Linked DNA regions of Stegostoma tigrinum. The protein of the gene in region 1 purifies or fractionates together with the protein of each later gene. This does not show direct contact. Links are inferred from orthologs where the notes say so. Each region holds a gene or a part of one and is shown on either strand. Other genes may lie near its edges.

Region 1 (12,095 bases):
TCAGTATGACAGGTCGGCACAACATCGAGGGCCAAAGGGCCTGTACTGTGCTGTAATGTTCTATAACACTTTGATGTGAGTTTGTCTATAGTGTTCTTAGAGCAGTACCTAACCTGCATTATTTTTCTAGACCAATTTCCAATAGAAAACATCAGTCTTTTGTTCTTTCCCTTTTTTTAAACAAAGTAAGCTGAAGTTCAAAGTTCAATTCTCAACTGTAACTCAGTTCCAAGCCAAACGTGAGAAAAAAAATTTTAAATGGTGATGGTGTCAACAGCATAAACGGAATCAAGAAATAGGAGATTGGAAGGAATCTGGGGTTGCAGAGCTGCTAAGTCAAGATTTTATTAAAATGGTGGAAGGGGTTGCACAGCTCATATGGCCTACTCCTCTTAGTTTCTACAGGAGCAGTTATCATTATGGACCTTGACTCTCATGCTGCCCTCATACAGGGCAGTTATAGATTGGTTCAAAGCAGTTCCTCTGGATAGCTTTCAAGAGAAGAAATTAGAGCTTATTCCCAATTTTAGACCAAGGATACAAAGACCAACTATCATTGACCAAATCAGGCACTCTGACCCTTTCTGCTTATTTGCCAATGTTAGCTCAGTTTGCAATGCAGTAGTGTCCTCAGTCTGGGCTCAATTCTTGGACCAAAGGTTACCACAAAGGACTCTGCTTCTCAATCTCTCCCTATGCTTAGGCTTGGTAACTCTCAGGTTAACCACCAGTTGTCTCTCTCGAATGAGAAAGCAGCCCTATTTACCAATAAGACAAGGGTGACTTTACCTTTATTGAGCAATGTAATTCCTAACTAATTTACTGACAGCCTAGTCACTATTATCTTCCACTTAAAACCAATTACCTCACATTTTCTGATCCAATTTGGCAATTTGATATGTTACCAAATCCTTACCTCTAACCTAATGTCTAGTATCATGATTAATATCTCCTTCCAATGGGAAGGGTCACCCAGACAGGCCCAATTGAGATAAAAACTTACAACTGTACTATTTTTCCTCCAAATTGAAATAATAGGCTATTCAAGTCCAGTCCTTATAATTTAAAAAGTATGTACCACCTAAATATTGCAGAAAGTGGCACCTACTATTAAAAAGGTTTATACATTAATTAATGAAATCCCTTGATTGTTATAGGTGCTTGAAACCAGATATAGTCATCATGGTTATAACTCGGCTGCTCAGTTGATGTAAAGTTCACTGTATCACATGCCAGGTTAATAACCAGCTTCCTGGTGCGGTTTGGAATTCTGTAGTTAAGTTTGGGTCGAAACCACTGAACTCCACAATCCCTGTGTCCTTGGACAAGTAGCACAGTGTTCATCAAAGGAATGGATTTCAATTCGTTAAAGATGTCCTTGACAAAGAGAGTGTGGAAAAGTTTTCGGATACAAGAGACTGTTTTCAAGCTCTCCTCAGTGCTGCCAAAGACAATCCGCTCCATGTTGATCTCATACATTTCCTTTGGATTAACAATACTACCACCCAACAGAATATGCACACAAGGAACCAGTGTCAGCATGAACATTGCCTCCAAATTCTGGAAAATCTCATTGAGCTCAGACAGTACCCTCTGAAATTTCTTGCAATTATTCTGTTCATTTCTTCTTGAATGTGGCAATGTGGAACTGTCTGCCTAGGAGAGTAAAAACAATGTGATAATTCAATATACAAGCCTGTATCATGGGGAATCTTTATCCCCACTTTCCAAACTCAGCAGAATGACATTTCTCTAACGGTTAATAGCTGGGAATGTCATGACACTGCTGTTTGTTACATTAGTTTTCAGGTGCAGTAAGTAATGAAGAAAGCAAATAAAATGTGATGGTTTATTGTGAGTGGAGTTGAATACAAAAGTAATGAGGTTACGCTTCAGTTAAACAGGGTATTGGTGAGACCACATCTGGAATACTGCGTACATGTTTGGTCACTGTACTAAGGGAAGGATGCTAACACACTGGAAGTAGATCTCAGAAGGTTTACTAGGCTAATACCTGAAATAAGCCTTTGAGGCCAGGCTATGCCAAAATCCTCTGGAGTTTGAAAGAGTCAATTAACTGAAACATACTAGATCCTGAGGGGACTTGATTGGGTGGGTATTGAAAGGATGTTTCCTCTTGTGGCAAATGGGACCTGATTTATACTGGACATCTGGTCGGCATGGACAAGTTGACTGAAGGGTCTGTTTCCATGCTGCATATCTTTATGAATCTAGAACTAAGAATGAAACTTTAAAATAAGGAGTCATCCATTTAAAACAAATCAGAAAACCATTTGAAGGGTCTAGGCCTGAAACGTCAGCTTTTGTGCTCCTGAGATGCTGTTTGGCCTGCTGTGTTCATCCAGCTCCAGACTTTGTTATCCAAGAACTGAATGTCTTTGGAATTCCCTTCCTAAAAAGGCAGTGGATGCAGAATCTTAATTTTTTAAGGCAAAGATACATAGTACAGTATTGTTATACCAGATATATTGATATACTAGAACATATTGATATACATAGAACAAGGAGCTTTGACCCACAATATTGGGCCAAATGTGATGCCAATTCCTTCTGTTTGCCCTTGGTCCAATCCCACTATTCCTTGTACATTTATGTGCTTTTATAAAAATCTCTCAAATGGCCCTACTGTATCTGCCTCCACTGCCACTCCTGCAGGTTCCACACTCTTACCGCAATGAGAAAAAAACCTGAACCTTATAATCCTTTTGCATTTTTCTCCTCTCACCTTAAATGCATGCCCATTTTTAATAGGGATTTCAACTCTGGAAACAAGACTTTGACTGTCAAATCCTATCAATGCATCTCGTAATTTTATAGACTTCTAGCAAATCTCTCCTCAGCCTCTGCCGCTCTAGAGTCAACAACTGGAGCTTTTTCTAACTTCTCCTACAGCTCATACCCTGTACTCCAGGCAGCATGCTGGTAAACCTCTTCTGCACCCTCTCCAAAGCATCCACATCGTTCCTGTAATGTGGTGACCAGAACTGAATGCAATCTTCTAAGTCTACTGTAAGAAGAGGTGACATTTTAGGTCAGACTTTTTTTACACTGATAAATCTTTGGTTCTCTCAGGACCGTGACTTGAAAGGAATTCAGGGATTTAGACATATATATTAATCAATTAAGATCTTCGAACTGACTAAATCTTGTTTGTTTAATACAATCTCAATGGTGTGAACTTTTGATCTTTTACTTATGAATTCTGTGTCTGATACTACCTTTCTCACTAACACCTGAAGGAGGACTGAGGGTCCGAAAGCTTGTGTTTTCAAACAGACCCGCTGAACGGTAACCAAGATAACGAAATGTGGAACACAGCAGGCCAAGCAGCATCTTAGGAGCACAAAAGCTGACATTCCGGGCCTAGACTCTTCATCAGAAAAGCTTTTGTGCTCCTGAGATGCTGCCTGGCCTGCTGTGTTCATCTAGCTCCACACTTTGTTATCTCAAATTCTCCAGCATCTGCAGTTCCCATTAACTGTGAACTGTAATCAAGTCTTTCTTAAATAATGTCACAATATTAGTTACCATCCAGTCTTCTTGCACCACATCCCTGACTATTAATGGTACAAACATCCGATAAAAGGATTCTACTATTTCTTCCCTAGCTACTTAGGGCATAGCCGGAATATTGAATGCAGTTCTAGTTGCCATTGTATAGGAGGCAAGTTATTATACTAGAGAGACTGCAGAAGATTAATACATGTATTATAAATTTATATACTAGGCTTGTTTTCCTTCAAACAGAAAAGACTAAGATGTCCAAGCCTTTTCCCCCTTAGTAGGGAGAGTAATAACTGGGGATGGGGGAGGGGGGTGCTGCAGCATTAACGCAAGGGACAGGAGGTTTAAAAGGGATTTGAGGAAAGTCTTTTTCACTGAGGGTGGTGGGAATCTGGAACTCAGAGCCTGAGAGGGTGGTACACGCATGAGCCATCAAGAATATGAGACGCCATCTCTACGGGTCAAATGCTGGGAAAATGGGAATAGATGGGTGTTTGATGACACGATGGACCGAATGGCTGTCTTCTGTGCTGTCGATCTCAATTCAACGAAAGGGAGGCACAGCGGGCAGACTACTGCAGCCAATTGCCCTTCCTAGCCCCAATCCATTTGAGGATGATAGTGACGGAGCAGTTTTACTCACCAGGCCAGAGTCAGTCCGACTGAAGAAAGCCAGTTGTTGATAAGGGAGTGGTAACTGCTGCCTCTGGTACAGGACATGTTTCAGGAGCTCACACACCAGTCGGCAGCAGCTATCCGCACTCACCAGTCCAGGGAACAGAACTGGTAATTCATCACCTTCCCGCTCTGAGCGACTTTCCCTACTACCATCGACCGCCATCGTCAACTGCCCGGCCACAGCCGCCATCTTTAGCCATACTGCGCTTGCGCACACGCAACCCCACCAGCTCCCTGACCGTTATTTTCGATTTGAATCTCCCGCTCCTGTCGCGATCTTTCATACTGGCGCACCCGTGTTTAAAAATACTGAGCGTGCTGCGGTTGTGCGGGGCCATCTTTAATATTGGCAACGGCTGTGAGCGTCTTAGGGAGAGAGGAAAAGTGCATGCGTGGAGAGCGTAGTGGCAGCATGGGTCTCGGCATTTATTTTTGTGGGAGCATCAGGGGTGGGAGGCAGGATGTGGACATTTACTGTCGGATTATCAACTACTTGAAGAAATTTGGACGCGTTTTTACTGAGCATATCGGCAACCCGGATTTAGTGGAGAAAGGTGATTGAAAATGTTTGGTGGCAGAGACAGCGCGGGGAGGTTGGAGGAAGAAATTACTGAGTGAATGACCCACTTCTAGGGTGAGCTTTAGAGAAAATGTCCGTTTTAGGGTCCCCGCTTGAGAGGATTTGTTTTATTATTGTCACCTAGATATAGTAAAACGTTTTTATTTTGTGTGCAGTACAGGCAGATCATACCATACAATGTGCATTAGGATAAGAGAACAGAGTACAATGTTACAGCTGCAAAGTGCACAGAGAGCGAGACTGACGTTAAATTTAATGTTTGAGAGGCTCATTCAGAAGCTTAATGTCAGAAGTCACACCATGCCAAAAGGTTTATTTGAAATCATAAGCTTTCAGAGCACGGCTCCTTCGTCAGGTGAAGTGAAGATGAAGGAGCACTGCTTTGATAGCTCGTGATTTCAAGTAAACCTGTTGAATTATAACCATCCAGCCTCACATTTTATCATCTTTGAATTATAACCTGGTGTCTTCTGGCTTTGTCCACCCCAGGCTGAGACTGGTACCTCCACATCGGAAGTCGAATAACAGCTGAAAAGAAGCTGTTCTTGAATCTATTTATATACGTGTGCAAACTGTTATTTTCTGCCAGATGGACAAGAGTATAACTGGGGTGGGAAGGGTCTGTGATTGTGTTGGTTGCTGTCCTGAGGCAGCAGAAAGTGTAGATGGAGTCAATGAGTTAAAGGCTGATTTTTGTGATGAACTGGGAAGGGGAATTGAGGGAGAGAGAGGAGGAGGAGAAGGGGAAAAGCGAAAAAGAGAGGAAAGCTGGAGAGAGGGGGTGTCTCTCCTTTCATCAACAACCCCCACCCCCCATCACTGTCACTTTTTTGAGTTGGAACAGGCACAGTGCATGTGTGTGATCTTTCTGCAAAGAACATGGTCCAGTGTATTAATAGATGGCGGCTTCTATCACATGGAAATACACTGTGCTGACCGGCAATCCCAGTTTTGTTGTGGTTTTAATTTTCTGCCCACTCAAGATTATTTAGCAAATGTTATTTAATTTCAGTCTTAGCCGACAAATGTCGGCTGGTTGCTGCAGTGGTACCTTGTTGTGAACAGCTGGAGGAAGTTACTATGTTCAGCCTTTGTACTTACCGTCACGCTGGCACTGAAATTCATATACCACATTGATGGCTTGTGTGATTGGAAGAACCTCTTTTTGGCTTGACAACAGCATCCTGTTAGTGATGAACATCAGTTGTGTTTCTACTGCACAGTAGCAGCTTCAAACAGCTAGTTGAATCTGCTACTCAAAACTTTGACATTCTTTACACATCCTGGGAAATCTGATGTAGACTGGGAATTTTGCAGGACCACGGATGAGTTTGTATAATCTGAAATGGAAAATTATTGGACAGTCTAGCCATCATCTTACAGGATGACTATCATGCACTGTATTTCAGCATGAAGCTTACATGGTGAGCAAATGGCTTGTGCACTATTAATGAGGTTGCTGATATGGCCACCACTTGCCAGAAACATTTTGACCTCTGATAATGCAACATCTGCTTGGTATTGCACTCGAGAGTTATCTTTGTCCAGTGATCTGTCAAGTGGAACCATGCAATACAGACAAGAGTGGCGTCAACTGAGCTGCATTGTCAGGATTTGGGGCAGGAGTGTGCGTTAGGTCTTGAGAGAGACACACACACTGTAGTTGTGTAGGTGATGGCAAGGATGAACAGCACCAATGAGTGAGAAAGTGGGCGTGAGGCAGCTCGGGGTGATTTTTCCTTTAGTGAAAAGGAAATGAAGGACCACTTGTTTATAATTGGATGTGCTAGTCTTTCGGTGAAATTAGTCAGCTTGCTCGTGTATTTTAATTGATTTGAAACTTAGTATTCATTCTTTATTGGGTAATTGGCAGGCGAAGATGGAGTAAAGTCTGGAGATAAATATATCCACGATCGAGATTTGAAGTGGCTACAGGAGGCTGATGGTGAGTTTAGTTTGTAAATAAATGCTCTGTCCCTAGCCAAGCTGTCCCAGGACAGCCACAAAACTGACCAGCAAATTCCCACCCCGTCAGTTTACTCTCGATCAGCAGTAAAGTCATAGAAGTGTCAGCAACAGTACTATCAAGCAGCATTTGCTCAGTGATAACCTGTTCACTGATGCCCAGTTTGGGCTATGCCAAGACCTCTCAGCTCATTACAATCTTGGTTCAAACATGTACAAAAAACCGGTGAGGTGAGAGTGACTGTCCTTGACATCAAGGGCAGACTTGATTTTTACTGATTGGCATCAAGGAGCCCTAGAAAAACTGGAGTCAATAGGAACACAGCTCCTCAGATACTGAAGTAGTTCACCTCTTTGCGGTAATATCCTGGACAATACCCTGGTTTGGGATGGTAACTGGCAAGATGAAGTGCAGGAATTCTCTAAGGCTCCTTAGTCAGCACCTTCCAGAACCCACAAATAAAAGCAAAATTCTATGGCTTGAAACAAACACATAAATGCTGGTGAACCTAGCAAGTCTGGTAGCATCAGTGGATAGAGAAACAAAATGATGTCTGTTTCTGAAGATGAGTCATAATGGACTCAAAACGTTCAGTCAGCCAGCACTTGTACCTTCCAAACCCACAATCAATTCCATCTAGTAGAACAAAGGAAGCAGATGTACAGGAACAGCACCATCTATAAGTTCTACTCTAAGTCGCTCACCATCCTAATTTGGAAATATATCACCATTCCGTCCATGTCGCTGGGTCAAAATCTTGGAATTCCCTTCTAACTGCAGTTGATTCATGAAGGCAGTTCACTACCACCTTCTCAAGGGCAATTAAGCATGGGCAGTAAATGCTGGCCAAGCTAGAGACTTCCGTATCCCATGAATATGTTTAAAGAAAATGGTGCAGGAGATATCTCTGATAACAAGGTGTAGAGCTGGATGAACACAGCAGGCCAAGCAGCATCAGAGGAGCAGGAAGGCTAACTTTTCGGGCCTAGACCCTTCTTCAGAAATGATCCCTTCCTCCTTTGGAGCGACATGTAAGCTGTGGAGTTGGAGGAATTGGTGAAGTCACTTCTAGAGTACTGTGTGCAGTTTTGGTCTCCTTCAGTCAGGAAAGGTCTAGCTGCTGTAGAGACAGCGTGTGTAAGGTTCATCAGATCAGTGAAGAAATTACAGTTGAGTTATGAGGAGAGAATGACTCCATAAGGCCTTTATTTCAGGTGTTGAGAAGAACAACTGGTGATTTAATTGAAACATGTAGGATGGCACATTGACAGCGGTTGGCACAGCTGCCTCAGCATCAGGGATGAAGGTTTGATTCTAGCCTTGGCAAATGTCTGTGTAAAGTTTGCACATTTTATTTGTATCTGCATGGATTTCCTCCCACAGTCCAAAGATGTGCAGGTTTGGTGGATTGGCCATGCTAAATTGCCCATCGTGGTCAGAGATGTGCAGGCTAGGTGGGTTACACATAGGAAATATGGAGTTACAGGGATAGGTGGGGGTGAGATGAGCCTGGGTGGGATGCTGTTTGGAGAACTCAGCAGGCCACTCTGTAGGGATTCTGTATGACGTACCGGAGGAGCTAGGCAGCGTGAAGAATGAGAAAACTGATCGATTGCCTGGAGAATCTAGAGCTATGGCTCAAGTGGGCTACCAGCCCTGAGGCATCGATGGCACAATCCTGCCCTTGGAGATTAGATGCCAGCACCTGACCCCAGCCATTCCCAGTATGGCCTGGACAATGTTCAGACCTCGAAGTGGCATCACAAAATGGACACGTTTGGGAATTGATTACTGGGCCATAATTCCAGAATAAGAGATCAGGCATTTCAGACTGAGCTAATGAGAAATCTCTCCACTTTAAAAGGTTGTTAATCTGCAGATTGCTCTCTTCCCGAGTTGTTGATGCACAGGTATTAGGTTTATTCAGTAGAGAGGCTGATTGATTTTGAGAATGGGGGAAATTGGAAGTGGTAGAAGATCAGCCATGATCTTACTGAATTGCAGGACAGGCTCAAGGAGCGGAATGGTCTGCTCTTTATTCCGTGTTCCTTTATTTCTTAAAGGAAGACTAACGTCCCATTAGCTATTTCATTGCTCTTTGTACCCAATCCCTTGTCTTACTGATGTACAATTGGACTCCAGAATCCCCATTGCTGTTCCACAGTCCAACACCATTTCCAACATTGTTGATCCTTTTTTCTTGCATCAAAAATAGATGACCTTTAATTTCTCCATTTTAGACTCCAACGTCCGTATATTTAAAGTCTAGTGTGTAACTTGCTGCTTCCATTCACAGGGTATTGTATTTTCTAATCTGGAATCTTTTGCATACCACACTTCTCTGCTGTGTCTTCCTTTATCCGAATGTGCCTTGCTGCAGCTCCCATTCAGTGGCCCCTGTGAGGGATGATGGTTAATTTCTATGCACTGCTTTCTAATTTACATAGATGGTTAGGTTCTTCTAAATGATGAAATGTTTTTCTCCTTGACAGTAATAGTGGCAGAGGTTACCCAACCTTCCTTGGGTGTTGGTTATGAAATTGGAAGGGCTGTAGCTATGAACAAGAATATTCTGTGTCTGTTCAGATCATCATCAAAATATAGTAAGTATTTGGAACTTAAACAATGGGAAATCTTCTAACGTGTATTGAAGGACTTGGTACATGTTACTCAATATGGAAAGTAGATGGACCAGTAGTAAAGATAAATTGGCCTGCTGAACCAATCTGGTTTGCTTTACAATCTAATGATGGACACAGCTCCCTGACAAATTACATAATTTAGAACAAGTAATTACATAAATGTAGCTCCTATACTCAAAATGCACAAGACTTATAAACTCAAGATTACCTGTTTTTTAACTTGTTCTCAAGATGTAGGCAAGACGACCATTTATTGCCCATGCTAACTGTCACCAGGAAGGTAATGGTGAGCCACCTTGACCCACTGCTGACAACCTTGTTACAATCCTATTAGAAACCATTAACATTGAAAGAGGAAATCTGGATGCTCTCAATCAACCGGCAGTGTTGCACCATTTCATTGCACATCTTTTTAACAGGTCTTGCTGTACACAGGCAAATTATAAACATCATTCAGAATTTGTTTTATTTCTCCTTTGCATTCCAGTCATATCATTGTAAAACTCTATCTATTAGATTGTATTCTTCCATTAGTCATATGGTAGCACATCCCCACCCTGTTTCTTTGTAGACCTCATGATTATGGATCCCTCACTCCTTATTCAGATTGCTGGTAGATATCCAACTGCCCTCCCAAAGCTTTTCAAGCCAACTCTGCTTCTTGTTTTCAGCCACAAAGTGCTGTAAAAACGATTGAAAAATTGTTCCTTCAGCAGTAAACTGCATTCCAGGTACCCGTCCTCTATCAAAACCCAGAATTGTGAGCTTCTGTCAGCAAACACAGAGAGTCATGGTCGTACAGCATGGAAACAGGCCCTTTGGCCCAATTCTTCCATGCTGACCAGTTTTCCTAAACTGAACTAGGTCCGTTTGGCCCATATCCCTCTAAACGTTTCCTATCCACGTACCTGTCCGAATGTCTTTTAAATTTTGTAATTGTATTCGACTCTACCACTTCCTGTGGCAGCTCGCTCCATACACACACCATCCTCTGTATGAAAAAGTTGCTCTTCAGGTTTCTTTAAAATCTTTTGCCTCTCATCTTAAACCAATGCCCTCTAGTTTGGACTCTGCTACCCTGGGGAGAAATACCGTGGCTATTCACCTTCTATTTGCCCCTCATGATTTTATAAACCTCTAAACCTCAGTCTCCTGTGCTGGAGGGGAGAAGAAAGTTCCAGCCTCTCCTTATGACTCATAACACTGCCCCTCCACCCCACCACCACCACCACACCCCCACCCCCGGGCCTTGGAAACATCATTGTAAATCTTTTCTGAATTATTTTTCTTGTTCCAATTTAATAGTATCTTTCCTATTGTAAGGTGATCAGAACTAAATGCAGTACTCCAAATATGCCCTCACCAATGTCTTGTAGATCAGTTACATGACATCCTAATTCCTGTACTCAGTGCTCTGAACATTGAAGCCAAGCATGCTAAACACCTTCTTCACCACCCTGTCTACCTATGACGCTACTATCAAGGAACTACGCACCTGCACCCCTAGATCTCTCTGATTTGCAACGCTCCTCAAGGCCCTACCATTAACTTTGTAAGTCCTGCCTTTGTATCTTATCAAATTGCAACACCTCACATTTATCTGAATTAAATTCCATTCCTTGGCCCACAGGCCCAGCTAATCCAGATCCTGTTTTATTCTTGGGTAACCACCTTCGCTGCCCATGATACCACCAAAATTGGTGTAATTTGTCAACTGATTAAACATGCTCCCTATATAGAACATAGAACATTACAGCGCAGCACAGGCCCTTCGGCCTTCGGTTGCGCCAACCTGCGAAACCAATCTGAAGCCCATCTAACCTACACGGAAAGTTATCATCCATATGTTTATCCAACGACCATTTAAATGCCCTTAAACTTGGCGAGTCTACTACTGTTGCAGGCAGGGCATTCCACGCCCTTACTACTCTCTGAGTAAAGAACCTACCTCTGACACCTCTCCTATATCTATCACCCCTCAATTTAAAGCTATGTCCCCTTGTGCTCGCCATCACCATCCGAGGAAAAAGGCTCTTACTGTCCACCCTATCTCATCCTCTGATCATCTTGTATGTCTCTATTAGGTCGCCTCTTAACCTTCCTCTCTAACAAAAACAGCCTCAAGTCCCTCAGCCTTTCCTCATAAGATCTTCCGTCCATACCAGGAAACATCCTGGTAAATCTCCTCTGCACCCTTTCCAATGCTTCCACATCCTTCCTGTAATGCGGTGACCAGAACTGTACGCAATACTCCAAGTGCAGCCGCACCAGAGTTTTGTACAGCTGCAACGTGAAAATTTCTGAAAGCTCTATTCTAAGTGACAGTCCATTATTTGAAAGACATTAAACAGCTCTGTACCCTGGCTTATTTCCAGCTGACAGTATGAACCATGAACATCCAGTCCATCTCCTGCAGTCCATAAAAGACTGCCTGCGTGTTCAATTCCATGGTGTGTATGTATGTTCTCTGCTGGCTTTGCTACATCTGGCCTCAGCAGCTGGGAACAGGGGCTGGGAACACTTCTGATTAGTATTCTCGGATTTCTGCTGAAAATGCTAAAAAAAATGCACCTTCGATGGTTGCAAGATGTTCCAAAGTGTTTGAGGGCCATTGATGTATTTATTTTTGAAGGTTGTCATTTCTGAAATGCAGGAAATACAGAAGGCAATTGGTAGATGATAAGCTCCTACCAGATGAGTATTT
Region 2 (11,844 bases), about 3.6 Mb from region 1:
GAAAATAAAAATCTTCTTAATGGCAAGATGTTGCCAAGCTCTGATATGCAGAGATCTGGGTGTCCTACTGCATGAATCACAGACATTTAGTATGCAAGTACAGCAAACAGTCAGGAAATCTAATAGAACGTTATGCTTTATTGCAAGAGGAACTGAATACAAGACTAGGGAGGTTATGCCTCAGTTATACAGAGCACTGGTGAGATTGCATCTGGAATACTGCGTTCAGCACAGGTCACCGTGCCTGCAAAGGATGTTAATGCACTGGAGACAGTTCAGAAAATGTTCACTCGACTAATACCTGGGGTGAGAAGCTTGCCTTATAAGGAAAGCCTGAAATGTCTGAAGACTCAAAGGTAGCTTAACATCCTAAGGGAACTCGACTGGGTGGCGTGGATGTGAAAGGATGTTTTCTTTTCTGGTCAGTGTTGTAGTTTTAAAATAAGGGTTCACCATTTAAGATAATAATTTCTGAAAACAGAATGGATGTAGAACCTTTATATATTTTCAAGGCATAGGTATATACATTCTTGATTGAAGACTTCATATTTCCAGAAGATCATAGGACCGCGCTCTCTAATGAGAGATGGTTGCTGGTAGTTTAACCTGAGGGTCATCATGCCTCAGACAAGGAATGAGGTTGAGAAGGCATGACCTTAATGGTAACTTCAGTCAGTGGGGAAGTGAACCTGTACTGCTGGCATCACACTGCATCGCCAATCAGGTATCAGTGAACTCAGCTGGCTGGACAGCAGATTCTTGATTACCAAGTGTATGAAAGATTATCATCAGGATTATGCAAGAACGTAGAAGTGCGACAGAAATCAGATCAACCACAATCTTTTTGGATGGTGGATCAGGCTTGAAGGACCTAGTGGTCTATTATTGTCCGTATGACACTTTTTCTGGTGTCTGTTTGGAAAGGAAGTTGCGACCTCAAGTATAAACCAGTGTCATTCCATCAGTCCATGCAAAAATTGACCCAAAAGATGTTTTTAAAAAAGAAAGTGAGTTGTGAGCAAAAGCAGACAGCAAGTGAAGTCTAAAATCACAAATGTAGGAAGAAGCAAGGCAAGTCAGCCGGCTACAACTTCAAGAGTGAATGTAGTTAAGTATATTTGAAGAGTGCTAATCTTTTAAACGTCTGAGCAATTAGAACTAAAATTAAAAGCCTAATAGCTTCTAATATACACTCTTGTTAATTTTAAATCAAGATATAATAATGATTAAATTACTTTCAGTGATCTAATTCATCTGCTCAATCTTCAAGTCAATTGTTCCTTCATTCTCTATGTAAAGTTTGAACTTTGAAGTGATGCAAGCATTTCCAAACAATGGAGAATAGCACCCTGCCCTTTACTGATATCTACATAGTTGATTAAAAGGTGTTCACACAATCAGAACCTGGGAACTTTCTGGGGGAATGATAGTGTCCCCACCTCCAGGCTAGAAGGTCTGGTGGTCTTGACAGATTGATCATAAACTCACTGAGCAGCAAATTTATATTAGATTCCCTACAATGTGGAAACAGGCCCTTCAGCCCAACAAGTCAACACCGCCCCTTGCAGCATCCCACCCAGACCCATTCCCCTATAACCTACACACACCCCTGAACACTATGGGCAATTTAGCATGGCCAATCCACCCAGCCTGCACATCTTTGGACTGAGGGAGGAAACTGGAGTGCCCGGAGGAAACCCACGCAGACATGGGGAGATATATCTTAAAGGTATCCTCTTTGTTTATATCTGTTCACACCCTGCTACCCCCCTCCAATTCAAAATACAGTTTAAACTGGCCAAAACTTCTGCACACAAAAGACCACTAAGTGGTAAGAGGTTGGGACTTTTATCCCCTTGGAGTGTAGTATGTTGGGGGATGACTTAGAGGTTTACAAAATCGCAAGGGCATAGATAAGGTTAATAGCCTTTTCGCTAGGGTAAGGGAGTCTAAAACTAGAGGCATATTTTTAAAGGTAAGAGTGGAAAGATTTAAAAGGGGCCCAAGGAGCAACTTTTTCCATTCAGGGTAGCTCTTACGTGGAACGAACAGGTGCTCGTCAGAGTTAAAATGACAGGATATATCGGATGAAAACGTGGATGACAAGATGGTGTCAGAGGAGGGGTTCAGACTCCTGGGGCATTGGGACTCGTTCTGGGGGAGGCGGTACCTGTTCAAATTGGACGGGTTACACCTGGGCAGGACTGGGGACTGATGTCATAATACATATTAATGATTTGCATGAGGGAACAAAATGTAACATCTCCAAGTTTGCAAACGATACCAAGTTAGGTGGAAGGGTGAACTCTGATGAGGATGCAGAGATCCTTCAGCATGATGTCAATAGATTGGATGAGTGTGCAAATCAATGGTCGATGCAGTATAATTTGAATACTTGTGAGGTTATTCACTTTGGAAGCAAAAACAAGAAGGCAGAATACTACCCGAATGGCTGTAAATTGGGAGAGGGGAGTGCGCAGTGGGACCTGGGCATCCTTGTGCAACAGTTGCTGAAGATAAGCATAAAAAGTGCAGTAGGTGGTACAGAAGGCAAGTGGTACGTTGGCCTTCATTCCGAGACATTTCAAGTACAGGACCTGGGATGTATTGTTTCAGTTATACAGGGCCTTGGTAAGATCATACCTAAAATATTGTGCACAGTTTTGGTCTCCTTTTTGAGGAAGAATGCTCTCGCTCTCAAGGAAGTGCACAGAAGGTTTACCAGGCTGATTCCAGGGATGGCAGGACTGACGTTTTGAGGAGAGACTGACAAGGTTTGAATTGTTTTCGCTGGAGTTCAGACGAAATGGGAGGGGGGGTGGTGGTCTCAGAGACTTATAAAAATTCTAACAGGATTAGACAGGGTACATGCAGAGTGGATGCCCCTGATGGTGGGTGAGTCCAGAACCAGGGGTTGCAGTCTAAGGATTCAGGGAAGACCATTTAAGACAGAGACAAGGAAACATTTCTTCACTCAAACAGTGGTGAGCCTGTGAAATTCATTATCACAGGAAGTAGTTGAGATCAAAATACTGAATGTATTCAAGAGGCAGCTAGCTTTAGCACTTGGAGTGAACGGGATCAAAGGTTATGAGCAGAAAGCAGGATTAGACTTCTGAGTTGGACAATCAGCCATGATCGTAATGAATGGTGGAGCAGGCTCAAAGGGCCAAATGGCCTTCTTATACTCCTATCTTCTATGTTCCTATGGCCTGCCAGAGGAAGTGGTGGATGCAGGTAGTTATAATATTTTAAAATACATTTGGACAGGTAAATGAACATGAAAGGTTTAAAAAGGATATATGCCAAATGCAGCTAAGTAGAACGAGTTTAGTTTGGGAAACGTGGTTGGAATGGACAAGTTGGTCCAAAGTTGTTCAACATGAATGCCCTACAAGGAATGAAGTCTCCTAGCCTTTGCCAGTCAGGCCCATGTAATATGCACACCAGTGGCAATGTAATACAGTCTTAATTACCCTCCAAATTAAACTAACAAGCCATTCAGTTCAAGGGCAATTAGAAATGGGCAATAAGTTCTGGGTTTGCCAGCAACATCCACATCGCAAAGAATAAGCAAGCAGGTACAGCGAAGCATCGATTTGATCCTGAATAACAATATTTTGAAAGATAATAAAGTGTGAAGCTGGATGAACACAGCAGGCCAAGCAGCATCTCGGGAGCACAAAAGCTGACGTTTCGGGCCTAGACGCTTCATCAGAGAGGGGGATGGGGTGAGGGTTCTGGAATAAATAGGGAGACGGACCAAAGATGGAGAGAAAAGAAGATAGCTGGAGAGGAGAGTATAGGTGGGGAGGTAGGGAGGGGATAGGTCAGTCCAGGGAAGACGGACAGGTCAAGGAGGTGGGATGAGGTTAGTAGGTAGGAAATGGAGGTGCAGCTTAAGGTGGGAGGAAGGGATGGGTGAGAGGAAGAACACGTTAGGTAGGCAGAGACAGACTGGGCTGGTTGTGTGATGCAGTGGAGGGAGGGGAAGAACTGGGCTGGTTTTGGGATGCAGTGGAGGAAGGGGAGATTTTGAAGCTTGTGAAGTCCACATTGATACCATTGGGCTGCAGGGTTCCCAAGCGGAATATGAGTTGCTGTTCCTGCAACCTTCGGGTGGCATCATTGTGGCACTGCAGGAGGCCCATGATGGACATGTCATCTAAAGAATGGGAGGGAGAGTGGAATCTGCAGTTCCCATTATCTCTGATACATATTTTGAAAGATGTCTGGTTTACAGCAAGTTAAAGAAATAGACTTTGCTTAATAGCGGTGAGCCGAAAAGATAAAGGTGCATTTAAAAAACTGAGCTCAGTGAGGCACAGGAAGTACCTCCCCATACACTTGTTATCCAGCAGCCTTAGAGAATAACGTCCAAAAACACCGAAAACAAAGCAAAGTGAATTATACTTAAACACAAAAAAGTAGAACTTTTTAAAAAATATCTCTTCGGTAAGGAGAAAAAAGCTATGTTGAGACCGTTTGCTTTCAATATTTATTTTAAAATCCGTAGACGTTCAAAAATGTTAACTAGAACTCGGAGAAAATACCATATAGATGACGAGCGCATTTAGTTCTGAACCTGAAACTGGAGAGAAAAATCAAGTTTTTAAAAAAACTTTACTGGGGTCTTGCAGTTTTCCGAGATAAAACTATCAAAATCCTGTCACGTTAACGCAAATAGTGGGGTACGGGGAGATTAAAACGTCTCAAATGTCTTTGCGCTCAAAAGCAGAACATTTCGGGTTTTTTTTACGCGTTATTTTGTTTCCACCCACCATTTCAGAAGAAACTTGACAGGAGGAAACACATCGCCCGCCCTCTCAAAACGTCAAATAAAACAAGTTTACGAAGAAAAACAATAATTTTTACTTCCAAACTCTCATCAAGCATACAGAAAACATTACCTTAGCTGAAATGTTTAAATCTTTTCTTCAAAATAAACTCTTCTCCTACGATCTAAAAAGACAGTTTTTTTTTGAAATACAAATGTTCTCGTTTTCCGCCGCTACAGCTCACGAGCTCCACAAAGGCGCCAAGACCACTCATTGGCCCAGAGCGAAGAGTTTGCACGGCCTTGCCGCTCGCGGATTGGCTGAACTCGGCCACTCGAGATCGCGTTCCATCATAACGGCCGTTACAAAATGGTGGAGTTTACAGAAGCGGGTGTAGTGTTGTTGGCGGTTCCGGGCCGAAATGACAAGCGTCAATCGAAAGTTATGCCGTTTCCTCCGTCTTACACTTTCGGAGAGAGGAAAAAAAAGTTCAGATAAAACTCCTCTTGTGGGAAGAAAATTGTGACAGCCATTAAACGCACATCATCTCAGGTTCTGCAATCCCGACAGATGCTGGAAATCCGAGATAAAAACAGAAAATGCTGGTTCGTAGGCAGCAGATCACATCTAAAGACATAAAACAAAACTGGAGTTAACATTCAGGTGAATGGTCACATTCATCAGCAATGGAAATGGTTACAAGGGAAACATTGCAAACTTTTAAGGAAGTGAAAAATAGGGTTGAGTGAAATTAAGCGGCAAGTGTTATGTAAGGGCTTTAAGTTGTACAATAATCTCTAACATAGTGTTAACAGCAGTTGCACTTTCCCCTGCCACCTTTCCAGAGCTCACTCTGATTTTATTTCCCCTTCCCATACCAACACCTTCCACAAAATCACAGGATGCCTCCTTGACTTTTACTGCGGGGAACCTTTGGACTGTTCAGGCACCAAACACTTTAGGCTGGGATCTTTATTTGTATTTCTTTCAATTTACTATATATGGAAGAGGGTGATCAATTATGGCCAGCATTGACAGGTTGGACTAACGGGTATGTTTCTGTGTTGCATAATTATGATTCAAAGTTTGCATGTGATAAGTAAATTGGTCAGTGGGTAAATATTGAGGATAGCCTTAGATTAGACCACAACACTGTAAAAAGTAGGAACAAGAGCAAGTTGTTCAGTCCCTTAAGTCTACTCTGACGTTCAGTTGGATCATGCCTGATCCAATATTCCTGTATATACCGTGTGATTCCCTACTGATCATCAGTTCATTTATTTCAGGCTTAAATATTTACAAGGATCCCAGCCCACGGCTCTTTGTGACAAGGAGTTCATGACTCACCACACTGACAGAAGAAATTCGTATTTATGTCAGTCTTAAATTGGTGCCTGTTTATCCTGAAATTATGCCCTCTGGTCCTAAACTCTCCCTTGAGGGAAACATCCTCTCAGCATTAAAAATAATAGGAACTACAGATGCTGGAGAATCCGTGATAACAAAGTGTGTGTAAAGCTGGACGAACACAGCAGGCCCGAAACGTCAGTTTTTGTGCTCCTATGATGCTGCTTGGCCTGCTGTGTTCATCCAGCTCTACACTTTGTTATCCTCTCAGCATTTATCTTTTCAAGCCTTTCAAGAGTCTTATACATCTCAATGAGATTGCCTGTCATCCTTCTACTCTTCAAAGAGTAGAGTCCAAATCTGTTCAGCCTTTGCTCATAAGACAATCCCTCCATACCAAGGATGGTCTTAGTCAATCTTCTATGACACTTAAAAAAGGAACTCAAAACTGCTCACTAGCCCAGAAGTGGTCTTATCAGCACCTTGTACAGTTGCAGTAAGATTTCCCTACTCTTATACCTAAATCCCCATGAAATAAGGGCCAACATGCCAGCCTTCTTGTGTTTGTTTACTTTAGAGTACGGTATGAATTTGTTCTCAATACTAGCTGCATTCAAAAGCACAGCCTTTCCTTTTGTCTTTTTGTTATCCTTGAAATATCTAAGTCTTGATTGTTGTGATACTCTTTTTTTTCTTCTTTCTGTCCTTTCCTACCACTCTGTAACTCTCATTTCCCCCATTACTGCCGGGTCACCAGACATACAATCCCAACCTAGTCAATCTCCCTTCATACGTCAGTCCTGCCATTGCTGGAATCAACCTGGTAAACCTTTACTGCACTCCCTCGAGAGCAAGAGCATCCTTCCTCAGAAAAGGAGATCAAAACTGCACACAACACTCCAGGTGTGGTCTCACCAAGGCCCTCTACAACTGCAACAACACAGCCCAGCTCCTGTACTTGAAAGCCCTTGCTATGAAGGCCAACATACAATTTGTTTTCTTTACTGCCTGCCGCACCTTCATGCTTACCTTCAGCAACTGCTGCACAAAGATGCCCAGGCCCCACTGCACACTCCCCTCTCTCAATTTACAGCCTTTCAGGTAGTAATCTGCCTTCTTGTTTTTGCTTCCAACGTGAATAACCTCACATGTATACAAATGATACAGTATCTACCATTGATTTGCCCACTCACCCAATCTATTGAGATCATGCTGAAGTTTCTCTGCATCCTCATCAGAGTTCACCCTTCCACCCAACTTGGTATCATCTGCAATCTTGGAGATGTTGTATTTTATTTCCCCATCCAAATCATTAATACATATTGCGAATAGCTGGGCTCCCAGCCCCGATCCCTGTGGCACCCCACTAGTTACTGCCCATCACAGTTGATTTGTCCCTCTCAGAATTTTCCCTCCTTACTGGGATGTATTTTTGCTGAGTGTCATGAGTTACCCCCTTAAATGTCTGTCACTGTGTTCCAACAAACAATTTTCTTGAGTGAGCTGCACTTGAGAGCTTCATCGACTGTCTGCCTGCCTCTTTTCCTTCCCTGACTGCATTTCTGTAAACATGCTACCAAAATACTCCCAACTGCACAAGACCACTACTGTGCCTCCAGTTGACACTCAAGCTCCAAAACCCAGTGTTTGTGCTAATGTAACTGGTGGCACTACCTGCAGATTTGGTCATCCAGCTTGCAAGGAGTATTCTAAGATTTCCCACGTACAATGGGCCAAGCAACCCAGGGGCCCAAGCTCCCAGCATTAGTTTAGTTGCTTTAGTTGAAATAATCTCTTACCCTAAATTTAAGATAAGTAGAAAATTAATTTTAAAAATGAACTGAAGATTCTGGAGATCTGAAACAAACAAAAACAGAATTTGCCAGAGAAACTCAGCAGTCAGGCAGGCATCTGTGACAGGTTGCTGAAACATTAATGCTGTCAGAACTGCTGACTTTCTCCAGAAATTTATTTCTTTTTGTTTCAGAATGTTAATTAAATTTGTTAATAAGTAATAAGTAGAACTCTTATGTTAATACAGGTTTAATGTGGACAAGAATAGCTATCCACTGCCCACCAATCAGTTCACTGCTTTGCTTCATGTGACTTGCATCAGCCTTTTTGAATTCTGGCAGGGTTGCTGCTGCTTCAATTGAATTCAGTCTGGGTCTCATCCCCCAGAGCTTTTACTGACAGATTTGTGGGGAGAGTTCACACACAGGCTTACTACTCTGCTGCTGCACTGACTCTTACTGTCAGAGTCGTAGACTAGGTATCTGTATTTTGGTTCTTGTAAACCTACAATTCTACAGCACTGGACAGGGTAAACTCAGGAAGTATGTACGACTCAACAGTCCAGAATCAGGGGTCACAGTCTGAGGGACCAGGGAAGCCAATGCTGAAATGAGGTGTGGTGAATTTGTGGAAATTCTCTCCCACAAAAAGTGGTTGAGACCAAAACGTCGAATGTTTTCAAGGTAACAAGGTGTGAAGCTTGATGAACAGGCAGACCAAGCAGCAGGCCTAGGCCCGAAACATCAAGCTTTCCTGCTCCTATGATGCTGCTTGGCCTGCTGTGTTCATCTAGCTCTACACCTTGTTATCTCAGATTCTCCAGCATCTACAGTTTCTACTGTCTCTGAAACAATGTTTTCAAGGTGTTAGATATTGCTTTTATGGATAAAGGGATCAAAGAGTTTGTGGAGAAAGCAGGAACTAGGTATTGAACTGGATGATCAGCTAGCAGTTTGAAGGGCTGTATGACTTAATCCTCTTATTTTCTATGTTCCTGTGTTCTGAATCTCACTCAAACCCATTCTTGTACTTCTGGTGTAAGATGGCGGCAGAGTAACAGGGCTGCGTTCAGGGTCTTGCCTAGGGCCCATTTGCTTTGCTTGTTTGCTTTATTCTTGCTTCTGCTGTTTTCTTTCTCTTTATTATCCTTTCCTTTTGGTCTTTTATTTCTTCTTTTCTGTGGTGGATTGGTCAGCAGCTCTGACAAAGACTGAGAGTGGGCTGCATGCAGAATTGTGGACATCGCTTCTCCTTGCAATAGGAGGCGGCAGCAACAGGGACATTCTTCTGCCAATAGGAAGAAGTGACAGTGATTGCAGTATCCTGCCATTCAGGAAGCTTATGGTAACAGCAACAAGGTTGCTCCCCCAGCGTTGGAGCCAGTGGCACCAGCAGCGACGTTGTTCCCCCAGCGTTCGGGGAGCAGTGGCAGCAAAGTTTCAGTGAGAGGTGATGGCTGCACTGATGGCAGCAGACTCTTCAAGATGGTGGCACCAGCAAGGTGACATCTGCAGCCAAAGCGGGACTTGTGGCTTGGCAGCAGCCTGGCCTGACAGTGGAACCAGGGACTCATGGTTGCAGGGCGAGTGTGGGTTCAGCAGCATCAGCATAGTGGGTATAGTGACAAAGAGTTGGCGCCTGAAGTGTGACAATTGATATGTCAGTGGTTCCGGTGCAGGGTGCGGTGAGGCAGCGGATGTCTCCCTTGAGACCAGTTACCAGTGTGGATTGGGTCAAAAAGACCGATGTTCTGAACCTTTCACTTTATTTTTCTAATTTATACCAGTGACTTGTAATGTTGGGCAATTTATTTCTTTATTTTTCTAATTTTTTTTAGTTTTCTAAGAATTTTAACTTAAAGTATCTCTACCTAGGTATCTTGTACCTGAGATAGTGCTTTAATGCGGTGAGTGTGAATTTTTCACCGTATTCATTTGAGTACATGTGATAATGAAACTAATTCAATTCAGTTCAATCCTGCCAGTACGATACAGTGGTGCCAAGCTGCTGCAGATTCCTTTCGATCTGCTTCATGGTGATTCTGGCTGCTGCATACTTCCCCACTCCCAGCCTCTCTAATTGCCCAGTATGGTTGAGATACACCCAATGTCTGTGGCTGCACGATGCATGTGCAAACTGACCTTAGCACTGTGTTACAGGAAGCCATTCAAGTGGGAAGTGAAACAAGAAATATTGTGATAGTAGATGACAGTTTAATGAGGGGAAATGACTCAGTTCTTTGCGCGAAGAACGTGAGTCCAAAGAACTATGTTGCCTGCCAGGTGCCAAAGATGATGGGCTAGAGAGGAACTTGCATTGAGAGATAGAGGATCCAGTTATCATGCTCAATGTAGGTACCATTGACATAGATAAAACAAAAGAGGGTCCTATATAGAGAGTACGGGGTTTGGGGTACTATGTTGAAAATGGGAACTTCAAATATAGTCTCTGGATTATTATCTGAGCCATTTGCAAATTGGCATAGGGCACATAAAATTAAGATGAATACATGGCTCAGAAACTGGTGTCAGAGAAGTGGCCACTGGTATCAGTTTTGGGGAAAGTGTGTGTTATATCTTTGGGACATTCGACACCTAAACTGTGCTGGACTAGTATTCCTACAAATTATATAGCCAGGGAAGTTGGGAGGAATTTCAGTTAAATAGTAGAGACAAGGCATCACATTTGTCAAGATGCAGCATGGCTATTAGATAAGCTGCCAGTGCCTAAAGTCGATAAGGCACTGGACTCAATGAGATGAATCTAAGGATATTGAAGAAACTGATAGTGTTAATTTGCAGAAGCACTGGCAATTATCTTTCAGTCTTGACTGGATTCAGGGTGGTGCCAGATGTTGGAGATTTGCAAACTTAATGCTCTTATTCAAAAGAAATGTGAAGAATGGCCCAGCAATTACCGAACAATTGGTTTTACACTGGTGATCACTGAACCTCTAGAAACAATTATGGAGGAAAATGGTGGGTTGATACAAAAGTGCCAATTACTGACAATTCCCACCCCATCAGTCTACTCTTGATCGTCAGTGAACTGATGGAAGGTGTCATCAACAGTGTTATCAAGCAATTTTTTGCATTACCTGCAAGTTCCCCTCCAAGTCATCAACATCTTGACTTGGAAATTGGATGACTAAAGCAGCATTTGAACCAACAGTGCATATCAATGCTATTATTAGTTTACAAAAGCAAAGACGGAATTTTACAAATGCTTACCAAAACACCAGGAGATCTTGAAATGAGGGTGGAACATACTGAGTGCAAAAAACCCAATCCCATTATGGAAAATGTTCTCCGGGTGATTTTCATATTTGCTGCTGAGGTGAATGCATTCATGCAACATATTCATGACCATGTGCAATTACTGCGAACTGGCGCATCAAAAATTACATTTTTGAATTCATGAGGTGCATTAGTTTCATCCGACTGAAACAGACCATAAAATGCAGCAGCAGATATAGGCCATTCAGCCCACTGAATCTGCTCCACCATTCAAGCAGAATATAGACAATCTGACAGTCCTCAATTTCTATCCTTCCTTTTCCCCATAACCCTTAATGATTCCCTTAATGATAAATAACTGTCTACCCCAAGCTTGAATATATATAATGACAGCTTTGGAAAGCCTTCTGTGATAAAGAATTCTGCAGATTTACTATTCTCAGAGAAGAAACTCCACTTCATTTCTGTCTTCAATGGGCAACCCTTATTCTGAGATTATGCTCTGTGGTCCAAGACTCTTCCACAATGGGAAATAACCTTGCCACATCATCTGTCAAGTCCTTTGAGAACCTTATATACTTCGGTAAAATTGACTTTCATTCTTCTAACCTCGAATTTGTATGGCCAAGACACATTTCACTTCTCTTCATAAGACAGTTGCTCCATTAATTTTGGATTAATTTAGTGAA

The links.
Region 2: the proteins of mad2l1bp (region 1) and lbr purify together in Homo sapiens (co-immunoprecipitation; 3 studies listed by BioGRID and IntAct, counting the BioPlex papers as one, with this or other methods). This does not show direct contact. The link is inferred for Stegostoma tigrinum from reciprocal best matches to the Homo sapiens genes MAD2L1BP and LBR.

What each region holds. Positions count from the first base shown.
Region 1 is NC_081357.1:7,176,339-7,188,433, forward strand, and holds the start of mad2l1bp (MAD2L1-binding protein), read right to left. Parts: upstream 4,395-12,095; 5' UTR 4,394-4,394; coding exon 4,169-4,393; intron 1,657-4,168; coding exon 1,132-1,656; 3' UTR 1-1,131. Other genes in the region: dnph1 (2'-deoxynucleoside 5'-phosphate N-hydrolase 1), read left to right, coding at 4,592-4,757, 6,657-6,728, 9,242-9,352. UniProt on the Homo sapiens protein: May function to silence the spindle checkpoint and allow mitosis to proceed through anaphase by binding MAD2L1 after it has become dissociated from the MAD2L1-CDC20 complex.
Region 2 is NC_081357.1:3,562,334-3,574,177, forward strand, and holds the start of lbr (delta(14)-sterol reductase LBR), read right to left. Parts: upstream 5,054-11,844; 5' UTR 4,911-5,053; intron 1-4,910. UniProt on the Homo sapiens protein: Catalyzes the reduction of the C14-unsaturated bond of lanosterol, as part of the metabolic pathway leading to cholesterol biosynthesis.